Linked DNA regions of Saccharomyces cerevisiae S288C. The protein of the gene in region 2 binds, or shares a complex with, the protein of the main gene of each other region. Each region holds a gene or a part of one and is shown on either strand. Other genes may lie near its edges. The genes, in order: RPC11, RPC53, RPC17 and RET1.

Region 1 (5,258 bases), 370 kb from region 2:
AACCAGCACTATGTATATTTTGGTGTTTGATACCGATATCGGCAGCTCGAAGCGTTTTTATGAACTGTAAAAATATGTCCTACATAGTTGTTTGGTAATTTTTTGGTTTTTTAAGATTGTTTTATGAATAGGTGTTTTACCAGAAGGCTATCGCCAGGTAACTCTTTTAACTAAATCGAAAAGATTTATTTGACGTGTCATATTGTAAAAACTAAATGGAAGACAGAAACTAACTTTGTCGACACCTATTTTAAACAAGTATCAAACGCGGGCTATAATTTTTATGAGAGCAATCAATGCAATGGAGTCTATTTCCGGTTAAATGGCACGATTGTGCGTAAAAACACGAGAAAGTGGAAGCATCTTTTTCTTAATGACGGATAATTACCCGAAACAGTGCAACTGCAAGTGCATACTCTTGAAGGACTTACATATTGAGAGGGAACACATTACTACCTTTCAAGAACACTCGCATTTACGGCGTACATATGGTTCCGCGGTAGACCCTAGGTTGAATTGAAAACCATGTTTTGAAGGAAAGCAAAGGCAGAATGAGAACATGGAGATGTAAATATTTTCCCAGTTAGGCATGACCCAAAATCGCAATCCAGATGCAATTTATTATGACACGTAGACCTTTCCGTATCTAACGTAATAAACGATATCTATTTTCGAGGCGCTCGACATCTCGTATCTGGGACAGAAAGTGAGGTAGATTATTCAAGAATACCTATTAAGAAAGGTAGAAGGTATTGCACCGATTCCTAGTATCAATTCTTTTCAAAACCACTTATTTTGCAAAACATGCGTCTAACCTGCCATTTCAGCAACGTAAATAATAATTACTTCCATATATATTCTTCTCCCCCAGTAGCAATTTTGACATGACAAATTTCAGCGATAGTTGCTTCGGCATTCGAAAATCGTAGAAGTATGTCTTAATGTAGAAGGTTGAGAACAACCGGATCTTGCGGTCATTTTTCTTTTCGAGGAAAGTGCAAGTCTGCCACTTTCCAGAAGGCATAGCCTTGCCCTTTTGTTGATATTTCTCCCCACCGTAATTGTTGCATTCGCGATCTTTTCAACAATACATTTTATCATCAAGCCCGCAAATCCTCTGGAGTTTGTCCTCTCGTTCACTGTTGGGAAAAACAATACGCCTAATTCGTGATTAAGATTCTTCAAACCATTTCCTGCGGAGTTTTTACTGTGTGTTGAACGGTTCACAGCGTAAAAAAAAGTTACTATAGGCACGGTATTTTAATTTCAATTGTTTAGAAAGTGCCTTCACACCATTAGCCCCTGGGATTACCGTCATAGGCACTTTCTGCTGAGCTCCTGCGAGATTTCTGCGCTGAAAGAGTAAAAGAAATCTTTCACAGCGGCTCCGCGGGCCCTTCTACTTTTAAACGAGTCGCAGGAACAGAAGCCAAATTTCAAAGAACGCTACGCTTTCGCCTTTTCTGGTTCTCCCACCAATAACGCTCCAGCTTGAACAAAGCATAAGACTGCAACCAAAGCGCTGACGGACGATCCGAAGATAAAGCTTGCTTTGCCCATTGTTCTCGTTTCGAAAGGCTATATAAGGACACGGATTTTCCTTTTTTTTTCCACCTATTGTCTTTCTTTGTTAAGCTTTTATTCTCCGGGTTTTCTTTTTTTGAGCATATCAAAAGCTTTCTTTTCGCAAATCAAACATAGCAAACCGAACTCTTCGAACACAATTAAATACACATAAAGATGCCTGCCCCTCAAGATCCAAGGAATCTTCCAATTAGACAACAAATGGAAGCTCTTATCCGTCGCAAACAAGCTGAAATCACGCAAGGTTTGGAATCCATCGATACTGTTAAGTTCCACGCTGATACTTGGACCCGTGGTAACGATGGTGGTGGTGGTACCTCTATGGTTATCCAAGACGGTACAACTTTCGAAAAAGGTGGTGTTAATGTCTCCGTTGTTTATGGTCAATTGAGCCCAGCGGCCGTTTCAGCCATGAAAGCTGATCATAAGAATCTGCGTCTACCAGAAGATCCAAAGACTGGTTTGCCAGTTACCGACGGTGTCAAGTTCTTCGCTTGTGGTTTAAGTATGGTCATTCATCCCGTTAACCCACACGCTCCAACCACGCACTTAAACTACCGTTACTTCGAAACTTGGAACCAAGATGGGACCCCACAAACTTGGTGGTTTGGTGGTGGTGCTGATTTGACACCTTCTTACTTATACGAAGAAGACGGTCAATTATTCCACCAACTGCACAAGGATGCCTTGGACAAGCACGACACTGCTTTGTACCCACGTTTCAAGAAATGGTGTGATGAGTACTTCTACATTACCCACCGTAAGGAAACACGTGGTATTGGTGGTATATTCTTTGACGATTATGATGAACGTGACCCACAAGAAATATTGAAGATGGTTGAAGACTGTTTCGATGCTTTCTTGCCATCCTACTTGACTATCGTCAAGAGAAGAAAAGATATGCCATATACAAAGGAAGAACAACAATGGCAGGCCATTAGACGTGGTAGATACGTTGAATTCAACTTAATCTACGATAGAGGTACCCAATTCGGTTTGAGAACCCCAGGCTCTAGAGTTGAGTCAATTTTGATGAGTTTGCCTGAACATGCTTCATGGTTATACAACCACCACCCTGCTCCTGGTTCCAGAGAAGCTAAATTACTAGAAGTTACCACCAAACCAAGAGAGTGGGTTAAATAATTCAAGGTTCTTTAGCAGACCGATTTTATGATCTCAATGACAATGATGATTTAATTATTTCGACCACTTATTTATACATTTTTTTATCTATTTATTATACCTCCTTTACATAATTCTTCAAATTCAATTGATACAGGATCTCTATTCTTAAAAATATTAATTATTGCGTCCTATTTATGATGCAAGTTCACAGTACGTGCAGGATCAAAAATTATATCAGTATCTATTGCTCTAAAAATATGGCAGCAGCCTTCATTCTCAATATGCGATCATGCCTTCTAATCAAATTTTAAGATGTTTTTATTACTCTTTTTATTCTTAGAAAATTCATCTTATATTCAAGGACTTCTTAATTTTCCTTCCATCTATGACCACAGTTTACACACTTATAAAAGGTAGTCATCGGCTCATCAGCTGACCTAATTTGTAGTTGGAAAAAGTAAGCACTCTCACCACCACAAGTATCATAATTGGGACATTGGGTTTTGGTTTGATCCACATTGTCCCAACCACCACCAAGAACATCATCAACTTCCTTTCTTGGAAGTTTCTTCCTATCATAGATTTCTATACCCTCTATAGGAAACTCATATGGACATGAACGGCATGCTAATGTATATACACCACTATCGCCACTCGTTATCAGTAGCATATTGTTACACGAAGGACAAAACGAAAGCATCCTAAATTATGTATTTTACGTTTTACCAATGAATGCGAACTCTTTTGCTTATATAGCCATATAACGTATGCGTTTTCCAGAAAGAAGATTCTCGGTTATGCTTTTGGATAAAACTTTTCCTACTGTTCTTTTGAACTGGATTTGAATTTTATATCGATCATCTTGCCATGTAATAATAGATGTCCAAAAATTTCATCTGCCATTTTTTTATTTTCCCGTTCGTTCACTTGCTCTAGTTTTTTTTTTTTTTTTTTTCAATACTCGGATTTGAAAATGTTAATGGGAGTGGCGCTAAAAACCTTCATCTGTAGTTGAATGCTATGACATGAGCAACACAAAATCATTTAGACAACGTTGAGTAAGGTGGTTCGGTCCGAACAACAGTTTCATGCTTGTGTTACTTCGTTTATGAATATAATATACAAATATTTAAAATGCTATTTATTATGCACTAACACCAAAATTTGTAGACTCTGACGAATATTGAAGAGTTCTTTAACCTTTCTTTATTTTCTTCGTCCTCCTGCCTCATTATTTCAGGGTCGTAAACTCTTCTATGAAAGTCCAAGTCGATCTTGTCCAGTGGGTTTAAAAAGGTAAAATCTCTTTTGTAAACCATGTATCCAACATACATGAATATCCATAGCGGGGCAGCCAGATAACTCTCGAAGAATGCCTGAGCATCACACTTTCCGCCATTTCCTATTGGAGACAGTGCGACCCAAAATTGGGCCATAAAGACAAGCATATTGAAAAAAACCCCATAGTATGAACCCCATATACCGGTATTGGCCTTATAGCCGACTTCATCAAGTGATCTTCCTTGGACTTTCATCGCTTTTCTGAATCGAATGTGTGAAAGCATAATGCCTGACCATGTGAAAAGTTCACTCAAACCTGCAATGGCTGCCAACCATGTAAATGCTTGCTCTTCCTGTGGAGAACAGGCGACGAAGCCAACGACACCAACAAGAGAGCACACTACCAAGGCCCTTAAAGGTCTTCCCTCCCTATCAATATAGTTCAAAAATTTTGGAGCATAGCCCTGTTGAGCCAAGGAACACATTAATCTCGGTGCGGCATAAAGGGCAGAGTTCGCAACAGAGATGACTGATATCAAAATAACAGCATTAATGATATGGGGGATGACCCTAACCTTGTGAATAGAGGCTGCCAAGACATATGGTGAAGCGTGCGTTGCGGAGCCACCGGAACCCATCAATTGATCGTTATTGTGAGGAACATTGAACCCAATTAGAATCATTGTCAGCAAATAAATGATCAAAATACGATATACACTTCTCTTCGCGGCTACAGGAGTGGATTTTCTAGGGTTAGACTGCTCATTGATGGAAAGAACAAATAATTCAATACCACCGAAGGAGAAATATGCAGATACTAGAATATAACATATCCCTTTGAAACGAGTGGCACCGCTGCCTTCTGCAAATGAACCAGGGTCGCGCCAATATTTGCCGCCAATATAGCCGTCCACACCGGCTCCCCCACAATTGATGACGACTGATAAAATAATGAATCCTGCAACCATCAATATCTTACAGGAATTGAAGATAAATTCCGTTTCACCGTATGCCTTAACACCAAAAAAGTGGATAAACAATAAAAACACATAGAAAATGACAATGAATACATCAGCATTAATTGTGTCATTCCAGTACTTGACGGTCATGGAAGAAGTAATCAATTCCAACGGTAGCACAGTTAACCACTGAATGCAAAATAACCAAGTGGTCGCGAACCCAAACGACTTTGAAATAAAGATTGAATTGTATGCATTGAAGTTACCTGGAAGCGTCGGATAAGTGACACCCATCTCACCAGCCGCTTG
Region 2 (6,070 bases):
AATGTCATCACCATTATTATTGTTATCCCAGTTCTTGCCGGGATTCCTTGTAGAATATATAGCAGGGGAAATATTATGGCCAGGGCCGAGAGCATGCTTACCTATTCTAAATAGCTCCGGCTTTTGACCTGGCTGAAATTGCTTTCTCCAAGAATACTTATTGTTGAGAAATGAATCGCCTTCATTATTCGGATAGCCTTTTTTTGCAGGCAATTGGTACTTCCCTGTTAAGTTTTCACTGTTGGAATAATCATCCATAAAATATACATATGATTGTAACATTTTATTATTTGCCAAATCTTTATCGCTATGGTCTTCGGCGGTAAATTTACTCCTTCGTTTACTGTTGAGTGTATGACTTCCGTTCACGGCAATCTTTTTCGTTAAACTGTCTTCATCCATGCTGTGTGTATCTTCACCGTCTATGTTTTTCATGTTAAACATAGCATACTTGCAAACGTAACCTAATCCGTCCACATATTCAGAATTCTCTCTGAAGAAATCTACAATCCTGCCGGCTGACGAGGGCAACGAAAACCAAAGTACAAACGGTGTTATCATCAGGCTAGTGAGTTCCCTCAAAAGTATTACTATTCTCAAGTTGTACAATTTACAGAACTCTAGTTTGATTTCCTCTTTGTGATATCTTCCTTCCCATTCCTTTGGTAGATAGTGTGTATATTCATACAACTCCTTGAGCGTCTCTTCGGGGTCGAAAACATGGTACTCCTGGGTTATTGTATTTCTACTTACAGACCATATAGCACCCAGAATAGTAATGTAGAAAATGACAGATCTGTCCGAGGTGATTTCAAAGTTTAAAAAGTTTTCTGGATCGAATACAGTGAGAAAAGCTAAAATGGCCACAAATGATCCACAAATAAAGGAAACAAATTTCAGAAACAAATTGGTCTTTTCCTTCGGGAACTGATCAACATACTTGTTAGCTAAGGTTGTGCTCAAACTTATTCTTTTCTTAAAAATATGGTAAAGTTCATTGTACTCACGGAATTTCCATTCAGCAATTGGTGTGTATTGACGAGCACCAATAGATCCAGGAGAAGTTTTATACTCATTAAAATATCTGAAAAAATAAAGCAAAACAAAGTATGTGACCAGAAATGGTGCCAATATAATATTAAGAAATCCTGCCAGCATGAATCTTTTTTGTAATTCTTCTCTCGTGAATTCTCTTTGAGAAGGTTTTAAAATACTTTGTTTAATAAATCCGGACTCGTTGAACACAAAGCCCATGACGCATAAATTAATATTCCATTCTAGTGTTTTTGTCAGAACGTTGGTCCTAAATAATGGAATAGGCAAGGATAAATTCAGGATGTCGCTATTGTAAAGTGCTATGAGATAGTTTTCTCTTCTCATGATTCTATTGGCAACGTCATGCGCGTCGATTCTATTCTTGGCTTTGACTTCCACAACATTTGCCGTCATAGCGTTTTGATCCTTCAAGTACATTAGCTGCTGTATCACATTTTGCCAGGGCAAAGTTTGAAGTTCGTCATCCGATATATTTAAAAGATACTTGTAAAAGTTTTGTAATTCTGATAATTTTTGAACATCAAAGTAGAGTTGAACAATTTTGAGAATCACGAAGAAATAAAACATCCAAAGGAAAAACTTTGTGAACCCCGTTATACTATTAGAATAACACTTGTCGATAATAATATCCGAAACCCGGTGACTAGTCGGTAATTTGGAGTAGTCAACACAGTGACCCATATATGTAGAAACAAAAACAACAAAAAGCAAAGTGCATATATTCAATATTTTTTCCAGTATGATGCAATAGAACCCATTTCCCAGATAATAATTGTAAACATCTTGAAGAAATATATCGAGGTTTTCTACGTTTGCCCATTTCCACAGAGCCCGCTCTTTCACGCTCAACGTATTGATTCTATCTTCCGGGGTATTGTTTAAAACGGATATATTGCTCAGTAAATTTGGCTTTCTTAATGGAAACAATTTAGTGAACCTGTTTGTATTATTTAAGGGCGAACCGGTAAACCGAGGTTGTGTAGCACTACCAAAGTATTTAGTGCCATGCTTTTGATTACCATTAATGTTACGGGGACCATTATTTGCACTCTTGTCCTTATCATGGTGAATGGCGTTCGACGAAGTAAATAGCTTTTGGGTATCACGTTGAGGGCGGTTATTCTGTAAGATATGCCTGAAAAACAAAGGTCGTTTACCGTCCTCTATAGTATTGCTTTTCTTAGAGCTAAATTCATGAATCTTGCTTTTTTGAAAAAGGGGCGTATCGTCATCAAATCCATCATTATTTATGAACTCATTATCCTCTTCTTCTTCTGACGAAAGCTGTCCGACTTTGGGCACAGAATCATCGGTAGAGCCTTCAACCAGTCTTTCTAAATTGCTTTTTTCCGTTTCAAGTACATTTTCTTTGCTCGTTACAGAATTTAGCTGGTGGTCTCCATCCAATCCATCACTAATCTGTGGAGCATACGCCTGGACTTGCTCTTCATCTACTTCATCCTCTTCTTCTGTACTAGTGCCTTGGTCAGACTCAGGAACACGTAAGTCATTCTCATCTACATCTTCGCGGCTGTCGTTAGTAGAATGCAATAAAGATGAGCCTCTCTCTATGTCTGGTAAAGGGAAGTTGCTCATCTCCTGGCTATTAAGAGAAGGATTAACTTCATCCGATTGTAAACCAAATATTCGCGATAAGAAAGTATTCTTCCCATGAGAGTTGGGTAACTGGTATTCATCTCTCTCCATAACCTAATAATTCCGTGATTTTGATATTTCAGGCTGTTCTTAAATGTCTTCTTATCAAAGTGAGATACTCATTACTTCACGGTGGTTATGGCGCTTCTTTTTGTTTAAAGTGTGGCTCCCCTAAAGTTCCGAAACTGGGTAACAATAACTAGAATAACATTACCAATGTTCAAAGAGGATGAGAAATTGTAGAAGACAAGACGTCAATAGTACCTTTTGAATGGGAATCTAAGCATCTTAATTAGTGTAATTTGTTCTAGAAGTATTTATGACTGTGTATATTCATTTATATACTCGACAGATGCGAGTGCGATTAGATTTGAGGTGTGACTACTATTTTACCGTCCACACGGCCTAGAAGTTCCGCTGAGGATGCATCATCAGCGATACTTAATGCTATAACATCTTGTAAAAATGTGGTTTCGGCACCTTTGCCAATATCCATCACCACATTTCCAATTTTCACGGAAAGTTTTCCAGATTTGTGAACCCGTATAGACCCAACCTTGCCGGCAAGTTCTCTAGTAGACAAAGCATCCTTCGTGTCCTTCTTTTTAATATTCTTCTTCTTCTTTGAAGGGTCGCTAGCCTGGGTTTCCATGTCTTCTTTTTCTTCTTTCACAGCGGGTCTTTCAAAAGCTGGTAACCTAGTAGGTAACTGGAATACCATGAATCTTTCTGGTTTATTATTCATTTTCTTTAGTTTTCGTAATATATGCTGATGATCTGCATTTAATAATTCCAACTCAGCGGCCGCTTCTTTCCCATCAACCGATTGAAACTCCTTTTCAAGTCCAAGATCTGCCAGTTTCTCATTGACTTGCCTTTCTCTTTCTTCCAAATAAGATTGTAATCCGGTTCCGACAGGCTCTGTCTTCACACTGGGGGTTGGTTCACGAGTTGGCTTTTCTGAAAGAGCTTCTTGTATTTCTCTTTTGACAGTTTCAACGTCTTCGTGTCTTACGCGGACAGGTCTCACAGGGAATAACTGTTCAATCCGTTTAGATCTCCATTCTTCGTCATCCATGTCGACGTCACTGCTCTTTTCACTTTCGCCGTCATCTTCGTCCTCTATGAGATTGCGTGCCTCGAATTCTTTTCCCATATTGAACTTCTTCTTAGATTTGGACGCTACACCTTCATTATCATCGTCTTCTGCCTCATTCTCAGAGCTCTCAGCACCATTGTCAATAGTTTCCAGGCCCTTTTGCACAAGAGATGACCCGCTTCCTTCTGATTTGATGAATCCTCTTCTCAAATCACCCTTCTCACTTACAAAGTTCCCAGCCGCCAATGGACCGCTAGAGATAACGTGTGTGTTATTTAAGTATTTGGCCATTCGCCTTTGCTGGCCGCCAGCGCCGGTTACTCTTTTATTCTTGTTATTGAAATGTTTCTTGTCATTACCTCTCTTAGATTCCTCCTCTAGCTTTACTTTGGACGCAGCTGCTTCTCTTTCTTCCTTGGACTTTCTTGCAACTGCTTTTGGTTTAAACTTTAATGAGGGCTTGGCAGATCCTCCTCCATTGGAGGAGGAATCTTTTAATGATGGCAAGCGCCCATTTCCTTTATTACTGCTCATACTTAATGAATGCTATCCCGCTTAATAAAAAACAAGATTACGCTTCGACTTTCGGTTAGTCTAGCAAATTATAAATACCTCAATATCTTTCTAGCTGTCCTCTTTTGAATTGTTCTCTTGAATACCATAATTCTCTGGTCATTATCTTCTGCTGATCAAAAAATTGGACTTTGCAGGGCGGATGAAAAATTTTCAAACTGCGCTTCTGCAATGAAAAAAAATTCAATAATGAAGCTCATCTCATCATAGCTCATCTCACTGATGCTTTTATACAAAAAGTTTTGGAGGAAGAGAAAACATATTAGAGTGGGTGTATAGAATAATATGGTACGCAAAGGCTCAAACAGAACTAAGACCTCTGAAGTTGGGGATGAGATTAATCCGTATGGTTTAAACGAAGTTGATGATTTTGCTTCTAAAAGGGAAAAGGTTTTACTTGGACAATCCACCTTTGGCGACAGTAATAAAGATGATGACCATTCTCTGTTAGAAGACGAAGATGAGGAAGAAGTCTTAGCCATGGATGAAGATGATGAGTCAATAGATGAAAGAGAAGATGAGGAAGAAGAAGAGGAAGAGGAACTAGATGGTGCTGCAGCCTATAAGAAAATATTTGGTAGAAACTTAGAAACTGACCAGCTTCCTGAGGAAGATGAAGAGAATGGTATGTTAGACAACGAGAATGCCTGGGGGTCCACAAAAGGAGAATATTATGGGGCTGATGATTTAGATGATGACGAAGCTGCTAAGGAAATAGAAAAGGAAGCTTTACGACAACAAAAGAAGCATCTGGAAGAACTTAATATGAACGATTACTTAGATGAAGAAGAAGAAGAAGAGTGGGTCAAAAGTGCCAAAGAATTTGACATGGGTGAATTTAAGAACTCGACCAAGCAGGCTGATACTAAAACTTCCATAACGGATATTCTAAATATGGATGACGAAGCAAGGGATAACTATTTAAGGACAATGTTTCCTGAATTTGCTCCACTTTCAAAAGAATTCACAGAATTAGCTCCAAAGTTTGACGAATTAAAGAAATCTGAGGAAAATGAGTTCAATAAATTAAAGCTAATTGCACTTGGAAGTTACCTAGGCACAATATCATGTTACTATAGTATCTTGTTGCACGAACTCCATAATAATGAAGATTTCACATCTATGAAGGGACATCCGGTCATGGAAAAGATTTTAACGACAAAAGAGATTTGGAGGCAAGCCAGCGAATTGCCATCTAGTTTTGATGTGAATGAAGGAGATGGTTCTGAAAGTGAAGAAACCGCAAACATTGAGGCCTTTAACGAAAAGAAGCTGAATGAGTTGCAAAACAGTGAAGATTCTGATGCAGAGGATGGAGGAAAACAAAAGCAAGAAATTGATGAAGAAGAAAGAGAAAGCGATGAAGAAGAAGAAGAAGAAGATGTTGATATTGACGATTTTGAAGAGTACGTAGCACAATCACGTCTGCATTCTAAACCGAAAACATCATCAATGCCTGAAGCTGATGATTTCATTGAATCTGAGATTGCTGATGTGGACGCACAAGACAAAAAAGCTCGTAGAAGAACTTTGCGTTTCTATACTTCGAAAATTGATCAACAAGAAAATAAAAAGACGGATAGATTCAAAGGTGATGATGATATTCCATATAAGGAACGTTTATTTGAAAGGCAGCAACGTCTGTTGGATGAAGCTCGTAAACGTGGTATGCATGATAATAATGGT
Region 3 (5,412 bases), on a different chromosome or scaffold from region 2:
CCTTATTAGTGTTGAAGACTAACACTGGTAAATGCTTCAAGATGATCAGCTTCAATTCTGTAATGTTATCAGGGTGAACCCAATACTTTGTTGTCTGTCTAACGAAATTTTGTTGCTTCCCACCAGCAGATGAGTCTCCCTTGATTGGGCGACCTGAAGTTCTGGCAATATCATATAGTTGGGAAATTTTAACGACTAGTTCGTCATAGTTTTCCTTGAAAAATGGTTTAGAGTCTAATCTAACTTGGAAAACTGGTTTCAAGATAAAACCTGTCTTCTTATCGTGTTTCTTGATAATCTTTTGGAAACCAGTGTAGTTTAGTCTCGAAAACTTTGCTAGATCATGAACATCGGCAATGATATCACTTAGTTCTTCTTCTAGAATCTCAAAATCTAGCTGAGTAGGAGGATTATTGGAGTCTAACAAACGAACAGTATGTTGCACTTGTTCTTGAACCTCTTTTACACGTCTAAAAACTTCACTATGCTTAACTTTGCAAAATGTGTAAACCTTGTCTAACTCGATCTCCAAAGATTCTAAAAAATCTGTTTCCAATTCTTGCGTCCACTGACCGTTATTCTTAGATAAGTTATCTTCTAGCTCAGTCTTCAGATCATCATAACTAATATAATAGTAGCTGTACTGTCTAATAAGAGACTTGCTCAAGTGCTCACCAAACTTCATAGCTGTTCCTGCCTTGTTATGCTCTTTTATTGGCCGATTTGATTGTTAGCCTGTAACTTCTTTCTGATTGCCTCAATATATAAAGATAGTATTGCTTCTTTTTCATTCACGTGTGCAGCCACGTGCGGATGAATAATAAAAATGCAACATATATGCATAGTGCGGTGTGTGAAAAAGTGAACCTACAAGTCAGTAGCTCTCCGTCAAAACGCAGACAAACCAATTTTTTGTCGGTGTTTTCCTGTGCAATTCCAGTAAGTAACATATTAATACAATTTCCTATGATGGGTTACGTGGAAAGCAGAGAGGCAATTGCGTGATTAATTCGGAATATTAGCAACGCTTCTCTTAGTATGAAAAAGCTCTTCGAAAGACTATATTTTTGAAAGCTTTAATATGTTTATAAGTTAAATATTGTCGAACTTGTTTGCGACAGCTCTTGAAGTCACGGTGCGTCTTTTTTTACTCGTCAACTGGTATAACAATGCGTATGACAATTATTATATAACTATTACTTTATTCTTGCCATGAAGGGATTACTGTAACGCCCTCAACTAGTATACCCTTTTAAGCCTCGACAAAAATACAGAATAAACAAAAGTTAAATCTCACCGAAGTTGCTTGTGGTACTGGCTTTACAGACGTTTATAACGCAGCACTAAATTTCCAAATAATAACCTTCCTCCAATGGAAATAAAAAAAATCGAGACTAACCCAAAGTGTGCGCAATAAACTCTAAAAAATAAAGTATATTCTTGTAAATATTTCTATATGCTTAAGTTCAATAATACATGCATACTCATTGAACATGTTATATTGTTACACAACAAAGTAATTTCTGTTTTTCGGAAGTGCCAGTCCAAATCAATTCAAAGCACTGTACACTCATGCGTAGCCAGAGATGATCTCTAGCATTTCCTCAATTGTTTTTTCGTCAAATCTTGCATCACACTCCTCCACTATGGAGTAAAGGTGGACCATATTGGCAGGAAGTTGATTGACAATCTGCAGTTTTTCAGCCTTGAATAATTTAAAAGAATTCAGTTTAGTCATCAACTCAGCAAAGCTTTCATCGCTCATTTTGCTTATACCCGATTTTTCAGCATCTTTTGCACCACTGCTTTCTCGTTCCTCGCCTTCATCTTCCTGGTTGATAAAGTTTTTGTTTATACTGAGATAGTTAACCACATTGCGAGTAATACCTTGCAATTCAGGATGATTGTAGGGCCTATTCTGCTTACCTTTCGAGCGACTTTTCTTCAGCGCAGCCAAACTTTTTTGGTCCCAAAGATGTTTTTTTTCTAGATCTGTTAGGAACTTCAAGACTTCATAGTCACTTAAAAATGCATTCCTTTCCTCAAGAACTTTCATAACGTTTAAAGTTTTTTGTTTAAGTGTCGATTTTTTCAGTGGTGGGTGTTGGATTCACTCAACTTCTCTTCTACTGTGGCTGTTATTTGCTTAACTTTCATAGATCGATGGCATTGAAAAAAATAATTTTTCAGGCAATTTTCCTTTTTTTACTTGGTATAATTTTCAGGAATTGAAGGATTTTTCAACGAATTAGCCTTGTTGGCGCAATCGGTAGCGCGTATGACTCTTAATCATAAGGTTAGGGGTTCGAGCCCCCTACAGGGCTAATATTTTTTTCTTGCCCACTTATTCAAGGAATAAGTGCTAATTATCTTTCAACCTTGCAGCGAAGCTTTCTTTTGTATTTCATCTCATAGAAGGTGAAATATCACACTATTTTGTAAATAGAAATAGTATATGTAGTTCGTGGAGAACCAGACTGCAGACTATCAATAAAAGGTTACATTCTGTTCAACTCATGTGACCAGAAGTTTGATTAAGCAAAATTGTTCTTCTCCTTAACATATGATATTATCTGAAGGAATCTAGAAAAGCTTGATCATTCCGCAGAATAACCTATCAAAATGATTGGGAGGACCATTTTATAATTCATGCTACATATATAACATTATACAGTAAACCCTTTTAATGTAATGGATTGCTCATAGTTGTGTACACGAACTGTTTGCTAATAAGCTTGTTTTAGCTTCTATTGCTAAAGAAATTACTGACGAAGAGTTTATGACAAGGAAAGATGAACGAAAGTACAATTTACCGGTTAGTGTCAGCGCCAAAGGATCCACGCACTAGCAAAATAATGAAAATTGTGCCGGATATTCAAGACTAAGAGATGTACAAGTTGAAATATAAGTAACCCTCGGCATAAACTACTCTGTCGTAAGATCATTAACATGTCGATTTGCCTGTGACATTTAACGATTCACAAATAGCGGAATTAAATGATACTTTATCTATCCTAAAACGCACGAAGCATACTTTAGAATGCATGCTCTTAGTAAGTATGCATTGCCGACTTCTCTGTAAGACTTTTATCTCGTTTCAGACCTAATCTGCAACAAGAGAAAGGGAAGAGGACGGTATTGTTACGACGTTATTGGCGGCTAGGAAAGAGAGAATCACCATGAACGATATGGTGCAAAAAAAATAAAAAAATAAATTGAAACGGACAGGAATTGAACCTGCAACCCTTCGATTGCAATCTTATTCCGTGGAATTTCCAAGATTTAATTGGAGTCGAAAGCTCTACCATTGAGCCACCGCTTCAACTTTTGTTGAAAATTTAGGCTAACATTTTCTAATAGGTGACATTACAAAATCCAGTCTTACAGTTATGCTTAATATTGACCAGTAGTCATATTACTGGCATATTATCTGTTAGAATAGTGACATACTATTCTTTATTACTGATGAATTTGTAATTGTGAAGCAATTAGACGCAAACGTCATTGATGTGTCAGGATGGAGAACGATATAGACTATGTGATAATGTAAAGTTAAATATCTGTTACTTGAACAATTAACTTGACGTTTGTATATGTAAGGATATGGGTCATTACATAGAAACTATAGTAAATAGTCTCAGTATTGTTATATTTGTCATGTTTGATATGACTAATCGGCGCATGTTTTACACCTCTTTTGTATAGTATAAGAAGATCTGCTTTTATTCTTGAACCCTACCACTATCTCGCCAAGTTTTTAAAAGATCCACTGCGATCATTGAAGATTCTATTTCAAATAAAAATCAACTATTACCTATCATCTAGCATTCATATTACTTGTATATTATCATATCTGTAAGAAGATGACATGAATGATGAGAAATAGTCATCAGACTTAATAAAAGCCGAAATTCAAGGTCGATAATGTAATAGGATAGGGTGTTGAATGACAATGTATAAAAGGAACGAAGACAGAGTAATACTATTATGTAAGAAATACCGATTCCCTTGTGAGTATATAAACATAACCATTTCATTAAAATAATTTATTCAATGGTATGTATGATATTATAATAACATACTTATACTTGTCTCACTCTGTTCATAAACGCAACAATACAATTACTTTTGAATATTATCTTTAATAAATACACTTAGTAGTTACCAATAAATAATAAAATCCTTTACTAATACTAATATAAGGATTTCTATGTTCTCGAGGAGAACTCGTAGTATGTTCTGTATCCCTAATATTGTAGCCCTTAACAACAATGGAATACGAACAATTTTCTTAATATTCGGCTATTTCTGAAATATACATATTCACGGGATACTAGGAGGTCAGCATGTTACAAATTTCATGATAGTGCATCAAGAGACCCTAAAATTAATATCCTTTATGTGCGTATTGCTTTCATGGTAGTAAATTATCACTGTTTTCATCTAGACGTGGGACGGTAACATTTTCGATAAATATCAAAAGATGGCAGTCATTGTATAGAATACCACAATTTGTGAGCATCTCTGAGGTTTTTTACAAGCTTCCGTAACTCATACAGACTTCTATCGTCCTACTCTAGTATTATTTACCTATTCATAACCACTTTTTTATCCTTCTATTTAAATTTATAGATGCAAAGGGCGGAAAGAATTGACTGGAAAGTAAACTAAATATAAAAAATATCGCCAACTTATTCATACAATATCGTAGCAACTGACAACTTTTAAAAATCTGCAAAATTCTTTGTAGTGTTCCTTAATAATGTTTAAGCTAAGGTTTTTTATTAAGAGGAAAATATTGCATAATTCTATAATTTACATCAGTACAGTAGTAACATATTATCCAATTATCTATAGTGCTTTTGCTTTTTGAAGGCGCTTCCTTCCTTCGAATTATTTCTTTCTCTTGAGTGCTTTTCTGGCTTTGGCTGTAGCGGTTTAGAATTTGGAAATATTTCAAATTCTTGCTCCTTAATTAGTTTTTTCCAATCCCACATTTTTCTAACATATAATTCCAGTTTCCAATTCTTCCACACTTGCCTGCCATAAATACTATTCTTCACCTTCTCAGTTTCTAAAACTAATGCTCTAGCAATACGCTCCTTATATAATGTTAATTTTGCCGTAAATTCCCACAATTTGTCCATTATATGAGAGCCATATACATTGCATGCCAAATTTACAGACTCTTTAGACAGTATGTTCAATAGCATTTTTCTCTTAATTATGTCCACCCTAGTAGTTTGTAGTACGTGCTCAACAACATGCGAAAATACTCCATGGTAACACATTTGTATCAACCTTTCCTCAGGCAGAGCCAACATGCTGTCAATGGTAATATTCAAAAACTTGTCGTCGTAGTCAATTAATTGTTCCAAGAAAACTGATCGTCTTCTTTCTTCTGCTGTTGGC
Region 4 (8,383 bases), on a different chromosome or scaffold from region 2:
AGAAACCCAGATTGCTTCTTTTGCCTTTTTGATCAATACCACCAAAGAGTTCAAGAAGTCTATGCTAGAAACAACCTTAAAAACAACGTACTCCACTTTTATCAAAAGTTGTCGTAAAACGAATATGCGTTCTATGCCACTGATTAATTTTCAAAAAAATTCGGCAGCTGAATTGTTCGGTATCGATGAAGTTCTAGGTTACCAAGTTGGATTTGAGTATATTAGGCAATTGGCAATTCATTTAAGAAATACAATGAACGCGACAACTAAAAAATCCAGTAAAATTAATTCCGCAGAAGCTTACAAGATTGTATACAACTGGCAATTCTGTCACTCCTTGGATTTCTGGTCTCGTGTACTATCGTTTGCTTGTCAACCAGAAAAGGAAAATGGCAGTGAATCTCCTTTACGACAATTAATTTACCCATTGGTTCAGGTTACTTTGGGTGTAATCAGATTAATCCCAACACCACAATTCTTCCCATTAAGATTTTATTTGATTAAATCACTTATTAGACTTTCTCAAAATAGTGGTGTTTTTATTCCAATATATCCTTTACTTTCTGAAATTTTAACCTCAACGGCTTTCACTAAGGCACCCAAAAAGAGCCCTAACTTGGCTGCTTTCGATTTTGAGCACAACATCAAATGTACGCAAGCTTATCTGAATACAAAAATATACCAAGAGGGTTTGTCAGAACAGTTTGTGGACTTATTGGGCGATTATTTTGCTCTGTACTGTAAAAACATTGCATTTCCTGAACTTGTAACACCGGTTATTATCTCTTTACGCCGTTACATCAAGACTTCAACTAATGTCAAACTTAACAAACGTTTATCAACTGTTGTAGAAAAATTGAACCAAAACAGCACATTCATCCAAGAAAAGAGATCAGATGTTGAATTTGGGCCAACAAACAAATCTGAAGTTTCAAGATTTTTGAATGATGTAGCTTGGAATAAAACACCTTTAGGTTCTTATGTTGCAGTACAACGTGAAGTTAAGGAAGAAAAGGCCAGATTAATGAGAGAAAGTATGGAAGAACAAGACAAAGAAAGAGAAACAGAAGAAGCAAAATTATTAAACAGTCTGGAAAGTGATGATGACAACGAAGATGTTGAAATGTCAGACGCTTAACAACTCAGCAAGATTTGATTTTTTGTCTTGAATTCAATAGTTAAGTCTATAAATGTGTAAAATAAAGAAAAGTCTTTTTTAAAGCGTATATATCATTGTGCTCACATGTGCTAACATGTGAGCACTCCAAGCTTTCTCTTGTCAGCTGGATATTTTTATATTTTGGCCGGTTTATGGATAGAAAACACGTCAAACGTTCGATGGATCTTATAAAAAGTAATGATGTAAAGCAAGGTACAAAAATGAAAGAAGTACGGTTTACTGTTATATAATTTTCGAAATCGTTCAACTCTCTTAAAGTTCCTCACGAAATAGATATGATTGCTAACATAACGCAAAATTTAGTACAAGATATATGATTTCTTACTGCTGGAAGATATCTTCCAATCTTAATCTTGGGGCTATGTTCATGGATAATAATTCCTGGAATAACAGTTTTGCTGCATATGGAATAGTCATCTTAATAATATTCTCAGCACTTTTGCAGGTAGTACACCAACCACTATAGCCCATTAATCCACATTTATCGCAGACATCAACTTCAAAAGCATCTGAACTAATCATCAACCTTTCTAACAGCAATTGTGAAGCACCATACGCGATTACACAATCCCTCTCCATCTCACCCAACCTCAGACCACCATCTCTAGATCTACCCTCAGTTGGTTGACGTGTCAAAACAGCCCTTGGACCACGAGCTCTTGCATGCATCTTATCTAAGACCATATGCTTTAACTTTTGATAGTAAATGGGGCCAAAAAAGATGTAAGCCTGTAAACACTCACCTGTTATACCTGAATATAACATATCCTTACCGGAATAGTTGAAACCTTGGTCTACCAAAATCTTAGACATATCTTCAAGTTTAGAACCACCAAAACAAGTACCATATTCCAATGTACCATTCAATACACCAGCTTTACCCGATATCAGTTCGATCATTTTACCCACAGTCATACGAGATGGAAAACCGTGAGGGTTCATGATAATGTCTGGAACTATACCTTGATCGTTGAAGGGCATGTCTTCTTGCTTTACAATAATACCACAAACACCTTTTTGACCATGTCTAGAAGAAAATTTGTCACCTAATTCTGGCCTTCTGTTTTGTCTTAGCAAAACTTTGATTAAAGCTTGATCGTTATCCGAAACAGACATCATAACTTGGTCAATGTGAGAAGGTTCTGGACCTCTATATATTACCGGAGCTTCCCTATATTGAGTTTGGACGTTTACGTTGTTTGGGTTTGGGGCGTCTGCTGAGTTAGTTGGAACTGACTTATTTATATAAATTTGTCCACTTTGGACCTTCATACCCACCTCACCTAGACCATCAGGACCAAGAGATTGATGTTGCCAGATAGGATCTCCATTTTCATCAACTCTCATACCACCGATGATATCTTGGGTATGGTTCGCATATCTTTTCAAAACAGTGGTTGTCTTTCTACGTGTTTCGCAACGGCCGAAACCTCTATCGATGGATGACTTATTCAAAACCAAAGCATCTTCAATATCATAACCAGAATAGGACATGACAGCAACCGTAGCATTTTGACCAGCAGGTAATTTATCATAATCGATCAATTCAATTGTTTTGGTTTTCACCATTGGCTGTTGTGGATAAGTCATCAAGTATAATAATGTATCTATTCTCTTGAATTGATTGTAGGCGATTGCACCAATCGCTTGCTTACCCATCGCACATTGATATGTGTTACGAGGGGATTGGTTATGATGTGGATATGGAATTAAACCAGCAACAGCACCTAAAATTGTGAATGGCTCGATTTCTAAATGTGTCATCGAGGGAACTATATCTTTTTCATACAATGCAATGTAAGAATCGTTTTCTTCATTGACATCTAAATATTCCACCAATCCGAGTTTCAAAAAATCATCGAAATCTAACTCACCATCTAATAATTTGCGTAAATGAATATCTTTCACGCGAGATTGACCATCAGAAACAATGATTAATGGCCTACAAATTCTACCACCATCTGTTGCAATATGAACTGCCATTTGGTGAGAATTTGAATAAATTGAGATAAACTCCGACACTTTACCTGTTCTTCTCAGATGTCTGAACTGAGTAACGAATTTTGTTGGGAATCTGATTGAACCAATTAAAGTACCATTCAAATAAACACCATAGTTTAAATGCAAGGATGCACTGTCAATCAATGTTATGTCTTCTACACCAAGAACATAACATAATTTCTTTATAGGTTCCTCTTCGTCATCTGTAGTAATATGAGTCATTAATGCTAAATTTTTCACTAGACCACACGCCTCACCTTCTGGAGTATCTGCAGTACAAAGCATACCAAATTGAGAAGGTTGTAATGCTCTTGGACCGGAAACTTTTCTTGATTTTTCAAACTGAGAAGAAATTCTTGTCATCATACCCAATGCGGAAATATAAGATAGTCTGGAAAGAACATGTGTAACACCCGCTCTTTCCATCTTAAATCTTTTAAGAGACCAATTACCGGTTGAGATAGCTCTGTTCAGTCCGCTGGTGATGTTATTTGAATGGACGTTAATTGACAATAATGCATCGTATTCCATAGCCCTATTTGGTTTTTTCAAGACCTTATCAATGCTTAGTTTAAAATCATTATTAAACTTTTTGAACAAATCTTCGAACAATAAAGAAATCAATTGGCCTGCTAATTCAAGACGTTTATTACCAACATAATCTCTATCATCAATCATCTTAGGGTTATACATTGCCATCACCACCCTGCGCGTCATCATGGCAATATATAAAGCCTTTTCTCTAAAGTCAAGGGCTTCCACAGTCAAATGTGCAATAACCGTGGTAGCAATGGCCTCTATACCCTCTTGCAGGATAGTCAGTTTTTGCCTTCTCATTGTCTTTACTTTTGCACCAATATACTCTAAAGCTTGCTGTTGTGTGTAAATATCTAATTTCGAAGATTCTTCCAAATTGACTGCAAAAATATCTTGGTAGCTACTATCATTACCGCAAACCAATTGCATAATTTCTAAATCTGATAAAATACCACAGGCTTTGAGAACAATAGCAATAGGAATTTCTTCAGCGATGGAATTGTGCTTCAAATAGATCTTGCCATTTTTGGTAATGACATAAGTCTTAGATTTTCTTTCATGGGTAGATGAAGTAACGGAGGCCTGAACAATGCCTTTCTTCTCATCTGCCTCCACAATAATACGATTCTTGGATAATTGTTCTTGAACAAGAATTACTTTTTCGGTACCGTTAACAATAAAGTAACCACCAGGATCCAACGGACACTCGTTTAATTTAGCCATTTTCGATTCATCAGCATCATATAGGATACATTTATTAGATCTCAGCATGATCGGCATCCTACCAATTTCCACGTCTTTATGCATAATAATGTTTCTACCTCTAGTGTATTCTATATCCACGTAGATTGGTGCAGAGTATGTCATATCTCTAAGCCTACACTCATGAGGCGGAGTCAAATAATCTTTTGTCGAAGAAGAGGACTTCTTACCCACTCTAATATCGACGTACTTCAGGTAGAATTCTGGATCAACATCACTCAAAATTAATTGATTTGCCTTTATAATTTTTTTTAAATCTGTATCAACGAAGTAGTTAAATGAGTCAAGATGTTGCTTCACCAAACCTTTAACCTTCAAGAATGCTGGTAAAAGGTGCCACTTATCCTGAGCAGTATTGATTTCATCAGTTAGTTTCTTACCTTTATATACTGGTTTCAATAAATCATCAAAAGCCTCGTCTTTCACATGCTTATGTATATGAGTTTTCCGTCTTTTTGTCGCAGCAACCATTTTTCAACAAGCACTAAGTCCCTAGCGATTAAAACGCTCAATTATCAACACTTTAAACTCCCTTTAATTCTTTCCTAACTTGTCCATATATCATCACTTAAGCATAGATCGAAAAATTTTCAGCTCATCTCACAATTACAATTTCGTCCGACGTGATCTGGAAAATACGCGCCTGCTTTATGGAACTATTTATATCTTTATGTGTAGTACACCTAACAATAAGGAATATATAAAAATAATGCACCTATTAAAACCTTTGGGAAGTGCCAACTTTGAATCATCATCTTTCTTTGAACACCGCGCTGCGACCTTTGACAAGAAAGACGAGATCACTCAACCTGACAGACCCGATTCCCCTGGTTCCCCTCTTCCGCTTTGCACAGCCCTTTTCGCTTAGTTTGGAAGCCTAGGTCCGATCCCCAGTGCTATTAATAGTTTACAATAAAATAGGATCGACGTTGCTATTGATGGATCGCATAGCACAGCAATATCGTAATGGCAAAAGAGACAATAACGGCAATAGAATGGCTTCTTCCGCTATATCGGAAAAGGGCCACATACAAGTCAATCAAACTAGAACACCTGGTCAAATGCCCGTCTATAGAGGTGAAACTATAAATCTGTCTAACCTTCCCCAAAATCAAATTAAACCGTGCAAAGATTTGGACGACGTTAACATACGGCGGAACAACTCTAATAGGCATTCTAAAATACTTTTACTAGATCTGTGCGCTGGCCCCAATACCAACTCATTTTTAGGCAATACCAATGCTAAGGATATCACAGTTTTATCGTTGCCGCTACCCAGCACTTTGGTGAAAAGGTCGAACTACCCGTTCGAGAACTTACTAAAGAATTACCTTGGATCTGATGAAAAGTATATTGAGTTCACAAAGATCATCAAAGATTATGATATTTTCATTTTCAGTGATTCGTTTAGCAGAATTTCGAGTTGTTTAAAGACAACTTTTTGCCTCATTGAGAAGTTTAAAAAGTTCATCTGCCATTTTTTTCCATCTCCTTATTTGAAATTCTTTCTTCTCGAAGGCTCTCTGAATGATAGCAAGGCCCCCTCATTAGGAAAAAATAAGAAAAATTGCATCTTGCCCAAATTGGATTTGAACTTGAATGTAAACTTAACTTCAAGGTCAACTTTAAATTTAAGAATAAACATACCTCCACCCAATGATTCAAATAAAATATTTTTACAGTCTCTGAAAAAGGATCTAATTCATTATTCTCCTAATTCTTTGCAAAAGTTTTTCCAATTCAATATGCCTGCTGACTTAGCACCTAACGACACGATTTTACCGAATTGGCTAAAATTCTGCTCCGTAAAAGAAAATGAAAAGGTAATATTAAAGAAACTCTTTAACAATTTTGAAACTTTAGAAAATTTTGAAATGCAAAGATTAGAGAAATGCCTGAAATTCAAGAAAAAGCCTTTACATCAAAAGCAGCTATCACAAAAGCAGAGGGGTCCGCAATCCACGGATGATTCAAAATTATATTCTTTAACTAGTTTGCAACGACAGTATAAAAGTTCTTTGAAAAGCAACATACAGAAAAATCAAAAGCTAAAATTAATTATACCAAAAAACAACACATCTTCTTCGCCATCACCATTATCTTCCGATGATACTATAATGTCACCAATAAATGATTACGAACTTACTGAAGGAATTCAGTCTTTTACTAAGAATAGATATTCTAATATCTTACCTTACGAACATTCAAGAGTAAAGTTACCTCACTCCCCGAAACCACCTGCAGTTTCTGAAGCATCCACAACCGAAACTAAAACAGATAAGTCATATCCGATGTGTCCCGTAGATGCAAAAAACCACTCCTGCAAACCGAACGACTATATCAATGCGAACTATTTGAAGCTCACGCAAATTAATCCTGATTTCAAGTATATTGCTACCCAAGCTCCGCTTCCTTCTACGATGGATGATTTTTGGAAGGTTATTACTTTAAATAAAGTTAAAGTAATAATATCATTGAATTCTGACGATGAATTGAATTTAAGAAAATGGGATATTTACTGGAATAATCTGTCATATTCCAACCACACTATCAAACTTCAGAACACCTGGGAGAATATTTGCAATATTAATGGCTGTGTTCTCAGAGTCTTTCAAGTCAAGAAAACAGCTCCACAAAATGATAATATCAGTCAAGATTGTGACCTTCCGCATAATGGTGACCTTACTTCCATTACCATGGCTGTATCCGAGCCGTTTATTGTTTACCAATTACAATACAAGAATTGGTTAGATTCATGCGGCGTAGATATGAATGACATCATTAAACTACACAAAGTCAAAAATTCGTTATTGTTTAACCCGCAAAGTTTTATTACAAGCCTCGAAAAGGATGTTTGCAAGCCTGATTTGATAGATGATAATAATAGTGAGTTACATCTCGATACAGCAAATTCATCGCCACTATTAGTCCATTGTTCTGCAGGGTGTGGAAGAACAGGTGTTTTCGTTACCTTGGATTTCCTACTAAGTATTCTTTCACCTACAACAAATCACTCAAACAAGATTGATGTTTGGAATATGACTCAGGACCTTATCTTTATCATAGTGAATGAATTAAGAAAGCAAAGGATTTCAATGGTACAGAATCTAACTCAATATATCGCTTGTTATGAGGCATTATTAAATTATTTTGCCCTGCAAAAGCAGATAAAGAACGCGTTACCTTGTTAATAGAATTGTTTTTCTCCTATTATACAAACACTTTTCGTTTTGATAAATTACATAACCTCTCGTTGCATTTTATTTCATTATATAGATACATTAAAAATAAAAAAAAATAAATCTACAATTAACAATCTCCTCATAAAGAAACACGGGTTTTTTTACGTACTCGCAACTTCATATAATGTTTTATTTTTGCGATATCAGCTGCATATCTATATGTCATATTTATAAAATCGCAGAGATGTCAGTACCCATAACTGAATAATTAGGTCCATCTGTGCGCTTCGTTATCACCACTCCAACTTCGTTCAGTATATCCCAATTCCTCTTTCACTCTCTTCACAGTGGCAGGATCTCCCATATTTTTACCTAAGTTATCAGAAATTTTGATAGCGTGATTACCATTTACTTCTAATAGTTTGATAACGATGTTTAACGGCTCACTTTTAACCTGGGGTTCTGACTTCTTACGAAAATCATTAGTAAAGTTTGTGCCAATACCGAATGTGGCTAGCATTCCATTCTCTTTAGCTGCATGGGAGTAAGTTATTGCCTTTTCGACGTTCAAAGAATCGGAATAACAGATAATCTTCGAGAATTTAGGCAATTTCAACACGTCATGGTAATGGTGGGAAATCTTTTTGGTATACTCAACTGGGTCTCCAGAATCTTGTCTAACACCGACGTAAGCATCAGAATATGGTGGACGGAATGATTT

Evidence for each region.
Region 1: RPC53 (region 2) and RPC11 share a complex: the UniProt entries of both Saccharomyces cerevisiae proteins name them as parts of the RNA polymerase III (Pol III) complex.
Region 3: RPC53 (region 2) and RPC17 share a complex: the UniProt entries of both Saccharomyces cerevisiae proteins name them as parts of the RNA polymerase III (Pol III) complex.
Region 4: RPC53 (region 2) and RET1 share a complex: the UniProt entries of both Saccharomyces cerevisiae proteins name them as parts of the RNA polymerase III (Pol III) complex.

What each region holds. Positions count from the first base shown.
Region 1 is NC_001136.10:544,902-550,159, forward strand, and holds RPC11 (DNA-directed RNA polymerase III core subunit RPC11), read right to left. Parts: upstream 3,410-5,258; coding exon 3,077-3,409; downstream 1-3,076. Other genes in the region: HEM13 (coproporphyrinogen oxidase), read left to right, coding at 1,741-2,727; amino acid transporter BAP3, read right to left, coding at 3,861-5,258. UniProt on the Saccharomyces cerevisiae protein: DNA-dependent RNA polymerase catalyzes the transcription of DNA into RNA using the four ribonucleoside triphosphates as substrates. Component of RNA polymerase III which synthesizes small RNAs, such as 5S rRNA and tRNAs.
Region 2 is NC_001136.10:181,618-187,687, reverse strand, and holds RPC53 (DNA-directed RNA polymerase III subunit C53), read right to left. Parts: upstream 4,346-6,070; coding exon 3,077-4,345; downstream 1-3,076. Other genes in the region: autophagy protein ATG9, read right to left, coding at 1-2,763; rRNA-processing protein SAS10, read left to right, coding at 4,670-6,070. UniProt on the Saccharomyces cerevisiae protein: DNA-dependent RNA polymerase catalyzes the transcription of DNA into RNA using the four ribonucleoside triphosphates as substrates. Specific peripheric component of RNA polymerase III which synthesizes small RNAs, such as 5S rRNA and tRNAs.
Region 3 is NC_001142.9:412,715-418,126, forward strand, and holds RPC17 (DNA-directed RNA polymerase III subunit RPC17), read right to left. Parts: upstream 2,057-5,412; coding exon 1,571-2,056; downstream 1-1,570. Other genes in the region: VTC4 (Vtc4p), read right to left, coding at 1-685; RNA-binding RNA processing protein NOP9, read right to left, coding at 4,848-5,412. UniProt on the Saccharomyces cerevisiae protein: DNA-dependent RNA polymerase catalyzes the transcription of DNA into RNA using the four ribonucleoside triphosphates as substrates. Specific peripheric component of RNA polymerase III which synthesizes small RNAs, such as 5S rRNA and tRNAs.
Region 4 is NC_001147.6:728,507-736,889, forward strand, and holds RET1 (DNA-directed RNA polymerase III core subunit RET1), read right to left. Parts: upstream 4,952-8,383; coding exon 1,502-4,951; downstream 1-1,501. Other genes in the region: mRNA-binding ribosome synthesis protein NOC2, read left to right, coding at 1-1,138; tyrosine protein phosphatase PTP2, read left to right, coding at 5,419-7,671; NPT1 (nicotinate phosphoribosyltransferase), read right to left, coding at 7,931-8,383. UniProt on the Saccharomyces cerevisiae protein: DNA-dependent RNA polymerase catalyzes the transcription of DNA into RNA using the four ribonucleoside triphosphates as substrates. Second largest core component of RNA polymerase III which synthesizes small RNAs, such as 5S rRNA and tRNAs.